2 linked regions of the Bombyx mori genome follow. The protein of the gene in region 2 interacts with the protein of the main gene of each other region in a biochemical or structural test. Links are inferred from orthologs where the notes say so. Each region holds a gene or a part of one and is shown on either strand. Other genes may lie near its edges. The genes, in order: ubiquitin-conjugating enzyme E2 G2 and E3 ubiquitin-protein ligase MARCHF6.

Region 1 (4,568 bases), on a different chromosome or scaffold from region 2:
ATATTCTGGATAAATTTTCTGTTCAATTTAAAATGTCAATCCTTCAACCAACTTATCTTCACTGGTCATAATTTATAGTCACTTGCCTAATATACTTTCACTAGAATGCAAGTCACTTAAAGAATCATGGAGTGTGCTATGCTTATAAAATCAATTTAAGACCACATTATAGTTGTGACAATTCAGATACTGAAATTTTGAGATTAGCGAGTCCAGATAGCAAAAACCTTGTCAAACTTGTCTCAGAGGATGTTACAGAGGGCAGGTCATTCATACTATGCAGAAGACCTTACATTGCAGAGGAATAAATAAATATATAACTGGGAATATATCACGAACAGTCATCTGGCCCAAAATTAGGATTCCCCATGGTATGGGTACCAGAAATTGACATAAATACTTAGGTACATTTAAATATATACATATATAGATAATAACCACCCAGAAAAAGAACAAACAAACCTCTCCATCACACGAATGTTTGCCCGATGTGGGAATCAAACCCACAACCCTTGGTGCAACAGTAAGGACTGCTAACTACCGCACCAGTGAGTCAAAGTCAAATTTGATCAGTTATTATTATATGAATTACTTATATTCTGGATTATGGAATACTTTATTAGTCATTTTAATAATGTACGCAAGCATTACAAATGTCCAAATATTTCTTTATTCTTTGAGCAAGGTATAACCTATTATAACAAAAAACCCAAAGGCTTTTTTTTGCCTTTATACTTTAGAGGTTTTAAAATTAAAAATACTTTAATAGGGATGATTTTACAGCCTGTAAAGAAAATGTGAATGGTAAAACCAAGTAGTGTTGAATTTTATTATATTTACATATTCATATAATAATATGTAATTTTTTTCTGGCAAGGAACAGAATGCATAGAAAGCCAACCACTTAACTTAACACTTCTTTTCAGATGTGATAGTAAATTTTGGATCAGGCTCATAATATTAGTCTTAACCATTTAAAGGCATCAGAGAATGCCTACTTAAAATAATTTTGAGTTAAGGCTGTATGGCCTAGCAAATTACTATTCATAATCACTACTTGTTTCTTTAGTTACTACAAGTTGTAGACTTAATTAAGACTATTTATTTCTGTTTAATCTTGTGTTTGTGTTTACAGATGACCAAGGTGTTATTTGTTGATTTTGAATATTATAGTAACAACTATTTTATCTATAAAAAATATTTCTAGACTTTTAGATTTGACTTCACACAAAATGAACTACAGTCAAAACCGTTTACGGCGACATTGTTTAGAACAACATGCTGGTTATAACAACCTAGAACAAAGGTCCCCGCTGAATGCCATATGACCGCCTTATTAAAAACATTGCTTTATACAACATTGCTTATAACGACATACCTCATAAAACGACCACATTTAACTAATATTTCGGAGAATTAGATCTGTTAGAACGACCGGCTAAGCTGTATTGTAAACAATTTGAATAGGTATCCACATTTGTCTTCAATGGCTATTAAAATCAGGAAAGAAAACAATAGGATTTAGTTTAGTGTAGGGTCTTTTCTAATTCTTAGAAACAAAACACGTGCATGCAGTAGGTCAAAAACCGCTTCTTCATATCTCTACAGTTAGTTTATTACTTATCTATACACAAAACGCACCAAAACTTTGTGGAGTTATTCGTGAAACTTTCAAAATGTCGCAAAGAAAAAGAAAACAAATTAATATTGAAGAAAAATCGCGTATTTTGTAAATATATTTTTCCAATAATTCCCTATCGATTTGTTTGTACTTGCACGATACACATTAAACATTACCGGTTGTTACGACTATCGGTTTTTACGACTGAATATGAGCAGTCCCTTCGATGTCGTTATAACAGATTTTGACTGTAATAGTATTTCCAGATTTGGCAGTTTGTTTGACTTAGGTTTTCATCTTAACGCTAAAAGGATCCCAGGAGTTAGATAAGCACCAAATATCATAACCACAATATTCCAATATTGATAAGTAACACCATAGTCGTCTTAGACCACAAAAACTGTAAAATATTTGAAATATCAGAAACAAATGACAATAAAAAATGTGAAATTCAACTGTAAAACTAGTCATAATAACTTCATTATTGTTTTTATATTCCAATACCTAAGGTATGTAATATAAATTATCTAAATATTAATCGTTATCTAAATATTAATCGTTATTAAAATATTAATCTAAATATTCATTGACATCTCTTTGCATACTTAACTGTTCGGATGAAACATTTCACACAAAAATTGCATCTTTGGAGGACTCAATGGATAATCAGGTGGGAAGACTAATTTTGCTGGAAAAATGCCACCTTCAAAACACGTGCCTTCAGGACCTCTGTAATAAATAATAAATAAAGCAGCATTTTTTTTCAAAGAAAATTAAATTGTAAAAACACCAGTATATACATTTGTTAGGTAATTTAGACTTAAATTATACCAACGGAAAGATATCAGAGCTGAAATATAAAGTATACTACTGAAAATATGTTTATTTACTTACGTTATGAAGGCTTCCCATTCGAAGAAGTTATCTTCATTTATAGGCCCAGCTATAATACCTTCCGGCGGATTTACTGTTAATTCTGAAATTGTAAAGCTATTAGAATTACGTACATTTACATGAATGCAAAAAAAATATTACTTTTTACATACGCTTATATTCTGCCATCAACCTCCGCAATGCAGAACCAGCCATCATTTGGTCCGTAATTTTGAATGACAAAATGGTACGTTGGGGCCAAAAATTTACTCAGTGGCGTTCGAGAGCACACTGAATAACCAATATACTGCACGGAATGATCTCAGTTTGCGAGAATAAAGTTAACAGTTAATGTAATCCAATGCAGTTAATGAGGACGACAGAGAACGCTTTAATGCCCAGTGAAATTATTCAAAGTACTATTTATACTTGTCTTATCGTTCTTTTTTTTTCTGGGATTAAACTGGGGTTTTTATTTGATGAATTGTTAACGTATTTCAATGGAAACTTAATCTGGTTAAAAATACGAAGTCAAAGTATTGTACCCTGTTTTTGACTTCCCTCTGATTTGTCTGACTCTGTCATCAGAATTCAGATTTTATCGTTGGAATATTCTAATATACCGGCAAAGGAAACAATCACAAACAACCTAGCTGTTTGCAACTGAAGGATGATGCCATGTTTATTAGATAAAACCATTAGACGTAATTGATGAAATAATTTCCCTAAAAAGGGACAAAGTGTTAGAATTTATTAATACTTCAGTTAACTGCTTGGAAAAACCTGATAAGGCACATCAATTCATTGTGCCCTCTTTCAATTTTCATAAAAATTTGTATAAGATTAATAAAAGTTGAAGAAAATATAAATTCGACGTTAGCTACAATGATTTAAAAAGAATCCGATTTCTATACTGAAATGAGAAGAAGATACTTGAATCGGATACACTTTTATACTACTCGGTAAGAAATAATATATTATTCAAATATTTGTATTTGTAAACAAAGTCCTAAAGATTGTCATCGTGACTTTTTATTCATCAACGATCTTTTATTTTTATGTTCATTGGGTGACGGTAAAAATTAAAAAATAACGATATCGTCCTCAGTATTATCAACCTACAACAACTGTTCTTAAGGAAATTGCTATCGAAAATAGAGATAAGTAGGTTCTGTTTTATAATATTACATATTACCATTGGTTTCATAAATAGGTGCTTGAGGTCGATACTCTCCATATTCTGGCTAGTCACTATTTTCACTATTTTTAATAAAGACCTCTGGACTAAAAATGTCAAAAAACCCCCATAGCGCAAGACATTGCCCACTGGAAATGGCTACGTGCATAGATAGGATACGCTCTACAGCGCAGCGGAGTCAACGCAGCATCAATCGTGTTTGAGTGGCAACCCGTGGCAGGAGAAAACCTGGTCGCCTAAGTATACTTATTGACGCACCGTAGAGAACGAGGACTGCCGGTATGACCTTGAGTGATATCAAGGAGCAAGCGCAAGACAGGGTCAAGTGGAGACAGCTTGTGATGGCCCTTTGTACCAGCAGGGTACCCTAGAACTATAACAACAACAGTGTTGGTGACTTCTAAGACCATCACTTTAACTTAATGAAAATTATTACGCAAAAACATTACCAATGTCATTTGCGTTATATATGTACATTCAATGTAAGACAATAAAAATCTCACGTTTTTGGATTGCTTCGCGACGCCATCATGTGCATATTTATAAAGGCAATTAATTAAGAGCTTAATATCTTTATTTAGTCTATGGTTGTCTTCGCCTTAGATTGTTACTTCAGGAAAATCAAATTTATTTACATTGTGTACCGTAAAATGGGGCGATTCGGGACAAATTCCAACTTTATGAGCAATTTTAAGGTAGTTGTTGATGTATATAATGCTATATCAGGATCAAAATGATTGAGTCTTGGGGGCATCTTTGTTGTCTAATTTAAAATTATGCAACTAGCATTCCAGTTTAAGCAAAAAATGCAAAAATAGGTGTAATCCCTATTTACCCGAAAATTGCGGTTAATTGGGACGAAATGAGAAATTTGCT
Region 2 (4,573 bases):
AAATCAGAATAAACATAAAATGCAAAGAATATCAATGTCTGAAGTATAATTCATGAACAACACCTTGTTCTAATGAATGTATGCAATTTAAATGGCATACTTCCTTCGACTTATTAAGTATATGACATAATGTGGTTAATGATATTATTCCTATTTGTTTCAAAATGTTTCTAATTACTGAAAATAATTAGTCACCATATTTATTTAAACCTCCTTAAAACATTACACTGAAAACATATCATTTATCATACAACATATTTAAATCTTACCTGAAGCAGAAGAAGTTCCAAACTTAATTCATTGACTGGGGCTTCTGAATGAACGGAGACAGTGTATGGCAGGAAACCGGGCAGCACATATTTAATGACCCTTATTGGCATCCAAAGCATGAATAGTACTGCCGAGCCAAAGATCATGGCTGACAACACCAGCCTTCTGATGTGACACATGACAGACAAGTGAATCATTTCCTAAAAAATATTGTCAAATTAACTTTTGCATTATGTAGTACTTTTTTTTGTATTGTGCACATTTTGTCTTATTTGCAATTTGTGAAAACTGAAACCTAATAATAAGCAATGATCTGAACATTTTTAATTTGTATATGAATACTTGAACCTGAGTTCGAAATCAAACTCTCAAACAAATCAAACGAGAAAGTATCAATCAAGCTATTTCAAGAGCATTTCAGGATAATTTTATGATACAATTCATTATAGAATGTTTTGATACTTTGAATTTGCTAAAATTGGAATAACAAACCTGCACTGGACTGAAATCAGGATCGTTCAGATTCTTCAAGAACCATAACACTCCCGGTCTCAGCACTTCCCTTAGTAACAGCACAAATGACGCAAAGTAGTACACATAGACCATTCCGACAAGCCAATGTATAAACATCAATGTCCAGGGAGCCGCCTGAAGGCTTGATTCGCGGTCTTTGAGTGTCGCATCAAACATGGAGAGAGAACAGAGATCCAACCACCATCCACATATTAGAGGGATCACACCTATCTGCAAAGTAAGAAATATGCAAACGTTAATTCAGAATTTTCCTACGGGCAGGATGTACAGGCTGCATGAAGAGGTATCACCATCCTGTCATGTGCTCCTGTTTGAAAGATGGAACAGCTATTCTAACTATGCTTTCTGTATCAAAGTTAAAAGTCACAAATTTATGTTATCTATGAGCTTCTGATTTATGCCTAGTGCTTATAATATATTTTCTCACCTGCAACAATGAAAACGATCACGCTTACTTTTCAATTGTGCATATAATATGCATACTCAAAACAGCTCAGTTAATGATATTGTTAATGACATGATGATTATATCTGCTGTTTAACAACTTAACTTAAAACTCCTAGACTAAAAAAAGCATATTATTATAAAATTTTCCATTTTCAACTGTCTATATTGGCTGTGAGTGATGTTATTATGGTTCATTGGCCTTAATAAAAACAATAGGATAATATTTAATGAGTAAATAACAATAACCGTATTACTACACTCAAGTTGTATTTGGCAGTCAATTGATATCTTTTTTGAAAGATAAAAATCTAAAAACACATTTGGAAATGTAATTTTAATTTAGTTATCAATAATTTATATCATAATTATAGCTGCAAGTTTACCTCCATGACTGAAAGCAGTGCAACTTTGACTACAACGTAGCAGAATCCTAGTGCTTTCTTGGCACTCCTTAGCCGAAACAGAGCAGCTAAGCCATGAAGTACGGCAAGTATTGCACCAACTAACACATAGCCAGCCAGTGCTGTCAAAGGTCCAGCATAAGGACCTTCTGTTGCTAATCCTGCTAAGGCAGCCCCAAGTCGTCCTATGTGATAAGGACAGAATGCAAACACCACTATAAACAGAGTGTTGAGGGATACCACCCAAAACACATGCTCTAGAAAGACCATGGACCCATCAAGACCTAATAGTCGGGCCCATGTCAATTCTTCAGCAGCAGCTCTATCCCATTCCATTGGATTCCAATTCGCTTCATCGCCCACTAATGGTTCTTCACCACCTCCTTCACCATTACCGTTACCAACTCCATTACCTTCTTCACGAGCTCCACCGTCATCCCCTCCAACTTCATTAACTCTTTCATTATTATTCTCAGGCTGTACAAAATCCTCTGGTGGGGGAACTGGTATATTTTCTCTTTCCATCCAGTCTGGACCTCCACCGTGCATTATTTGTTCTCTCAACCACACAAGTCCAATAAAAGAGAAAAGTGTACATGTCACAATAAAACATCCTGAGAAAACATCTTTGGCAAGATTCTCAGCAGAAACAATCTCAAATGGTAAGGAAATAACTGGTCCCAGGGAGCCTGAGAACAAGCACCTATATGTCCTGCAAGCCGTAAGCGGTACGATACCGAGCCAGGCTAAAGCCACCAGGGTGTAATGGAGCCAGTCCTTTACGGCTGACGCAACGGACATCACCAGGCCGCCCACTACATCGCGGATAGGCAGCCTGCGAGGCATGTCCGGAGAATATATCGGCATAAAAGAAAAGCGATGTCCGCAAAGCTCGCAGATTTCCTTCCGAGAGTATCTCATCCATTGCACTAAGCATTCCTGATGGATCCATTTAATCGAACCGGTACAGATGCAAGGGTGGAATAAAGGCCGATCCGACGTTGCCTCCGAGCGACAAAACCGGCAGAAGTCGGCGCCGGACGAGTCCGAGTCCATCATTATCTATTATCCAGTTTGTAGACTTGATCAACACTGTCGAATAACAAAATCTGGTGCTTGGAATTCTTCTATAAAGATATTTATTGAGTTTGTAACTAATAGTTATGACACCACACAGAGCGAAACCCTGCTCTAAAACAACACAAAACACAAATTGACGACACTTTTTATCGAAGATAGAAAAACTTGTAAGTAGGTAGGTAGGTACCGAACATATTACATTTTCTCTTTGTTTGACAGCAGCAACCAGTGCTGCCAATTTCAGAAAACATTTTGGACATGGAAAACTCAATGCTTTCTTGTGGATTATAACAATTTCACACAAATAATATTAATTTTTGTAAATTAAAAAATAGATGAAATTCAGTTTTTCTATAAGACAACTCTTGTGGTCAAGGCACAAGAGAGCAACTACTCGTAATGCGGCAAATTGTCGAAAAGGCCAGAGAATTTAATATTACCCTATATGTGTGCTTCGTGGATTTCCGAAAAGCTTTTGATACCGTCAAGTGGTGGAAGCTGTGGTTGGTACTGACGGAAATGGGTGTACCGCAACATCTTGTACACACCATCAGATGTCTGTACGAAGATGGCACGGCCGCTGTTCGTGTTGATGGTATTGACTCCGAACGCTTCAGCACACAGGCAGGCGTTAAGCAGGGCTGCATACTATCTCCTCTTTTATTTAATATATACACAGAGTATATAATGCGCATAGTTCTTGAAGATTGGGATAAAGGAAAATCCGTTGGTGGTCGGAAAATATCAAACTTGAGATACGCCGATGATACTACCCTCTTGGCGTCAACCAGAAACGAAATCGAGGTGCTTCTTCGCCGGCTGGAGACCACAGCGTTGGATTTTGGACTTGCGATCAATCGTGATAAGACCAAAATGATGATCGTAGATCGTGCTAACATCAACCAACCGGAAGTCCAACATATAGCGGGATGCGAGGTAGTTAATAGTTATGTATATCTAGGCTCCACTATCACCAACGGAGGCTGCGAAGATGAGATCCGAAAACGTTGCGCCGTGACAAGATCCTCAGTTGAGAGGCTAACAAAGATTTGGAGAGACCGCAGAATAACCAAAAACACAAAAGTTCGGTTAATGAGATGCCTGGTCTTTCAATCTTTCTGTATGGGGCTGAGACGTAGACGCTGAGGATGTAAGACCGTCGTAAGATTGACGCACTAGAAATGTGGTGTTGGAGACGTCTCCTCAGAATTCCGTGGACCGCGCACCATACCAACATTTTGATCCTGAAAGAGCTCAACATCAAGGAGAGACTATCGTCAACAGTCCAAATACGAATCCTCAAGTTCTTCGGGCACATCACTCGTAATGAGGACTCCATTTGAGTGGTTGGTGGTGCAAGGGAAAGTCGAGGGCAAAAGATCTCGCGGACGATCTCCAACACGATGGACCGACCATACAAAATCTTTGACTCGCTCCAACATAAATGATTGCTCTCACTCTGCGAAACATCGTGCCACATGGCGTCGCATCGCGAGAGAATCGGTATCGCAGGATCCGACTGATGCATGACCACGACCACTCTGTCAAGAGTTTCCTATTCGTGAAGAAGAATAAGACAACTAAAATCAGCCTTATTAATATTTTAAGTAATTGATTGTTGCAAACAGTATCTATCTAGAAATAGTTCTTAATGCTCAACATCCAATGATCCTCGTGATAAATATGCCAAAGCTCTCGCGATAAAAATATACAAAAATGATATTAATCTTTATGATTTCTTTTACATTATATGAAACATACGAGAAAAACATTGTAAATGATTGAAAACAAAATGTTTAGCTTTATGGACTTTTTTTTTTTTTTTCCACAGGAGAAAATCG

The links.
Region 1: the proteins of E3 ubiquitin-protein ligase MARCHF6 (region 2) and ubiquitin-conjugating enzyme E2 G2 form a complex in vitro, tested with the Homo sapiens proteins (2 studies listed by BioGRID). The link is inferred for Bombyx mori from reciprocal best matches to the Homo sapiens genes MARCHF6 and UBE2G2.

The regions. Positions count from the first base shown.
Region 1 is NC_085107.1:15,234,940-15,239,507, reverse strand, and holds the start of ubiquitin-conjugating enzyme E2 G2, read right to left. Parts: upstream 3,106-4,568; 5' UTR 2,714-3,105; coding exon 2,668-2,713; intron 2,598-2,667; coding exon 2,516-2,597; intron 2,351-2,515; coding exon 2,232-2,350; intron 1-2,231. UniProt on the Homo sapiens protein: Accepts ubiquitin from the E1 complex and catalyzes its covalent attachment to other proteins. In vitro catalyzes 'Lys-48'-linked polyubiquitination. Involved in endoplasmic reticulum-associated degradation (ERAD).
Region 2 is NC_085117.1:16,844,483-16,849,055, forward strand, and holds the start of E3 ubiquitin-protein ligase MARCHF6, read right to left. Parts: upstream 2,974-4,573; 5' UTR 2,712-2,973; coding exon 1,635-2,711; intron 1,015-1,634; coding exon 763-1,014; intron 471-762; coding exon 270-470; intron 1-269. UniProt on the Homo sapiens protein: Endoplasmic reticulum membrane-associated E3 ubiquitin ligase that plays a critical role in mitigating endoplasmic reticulum stress, the regulation of cholesterol and lipid homeostasis, and ferroptosis.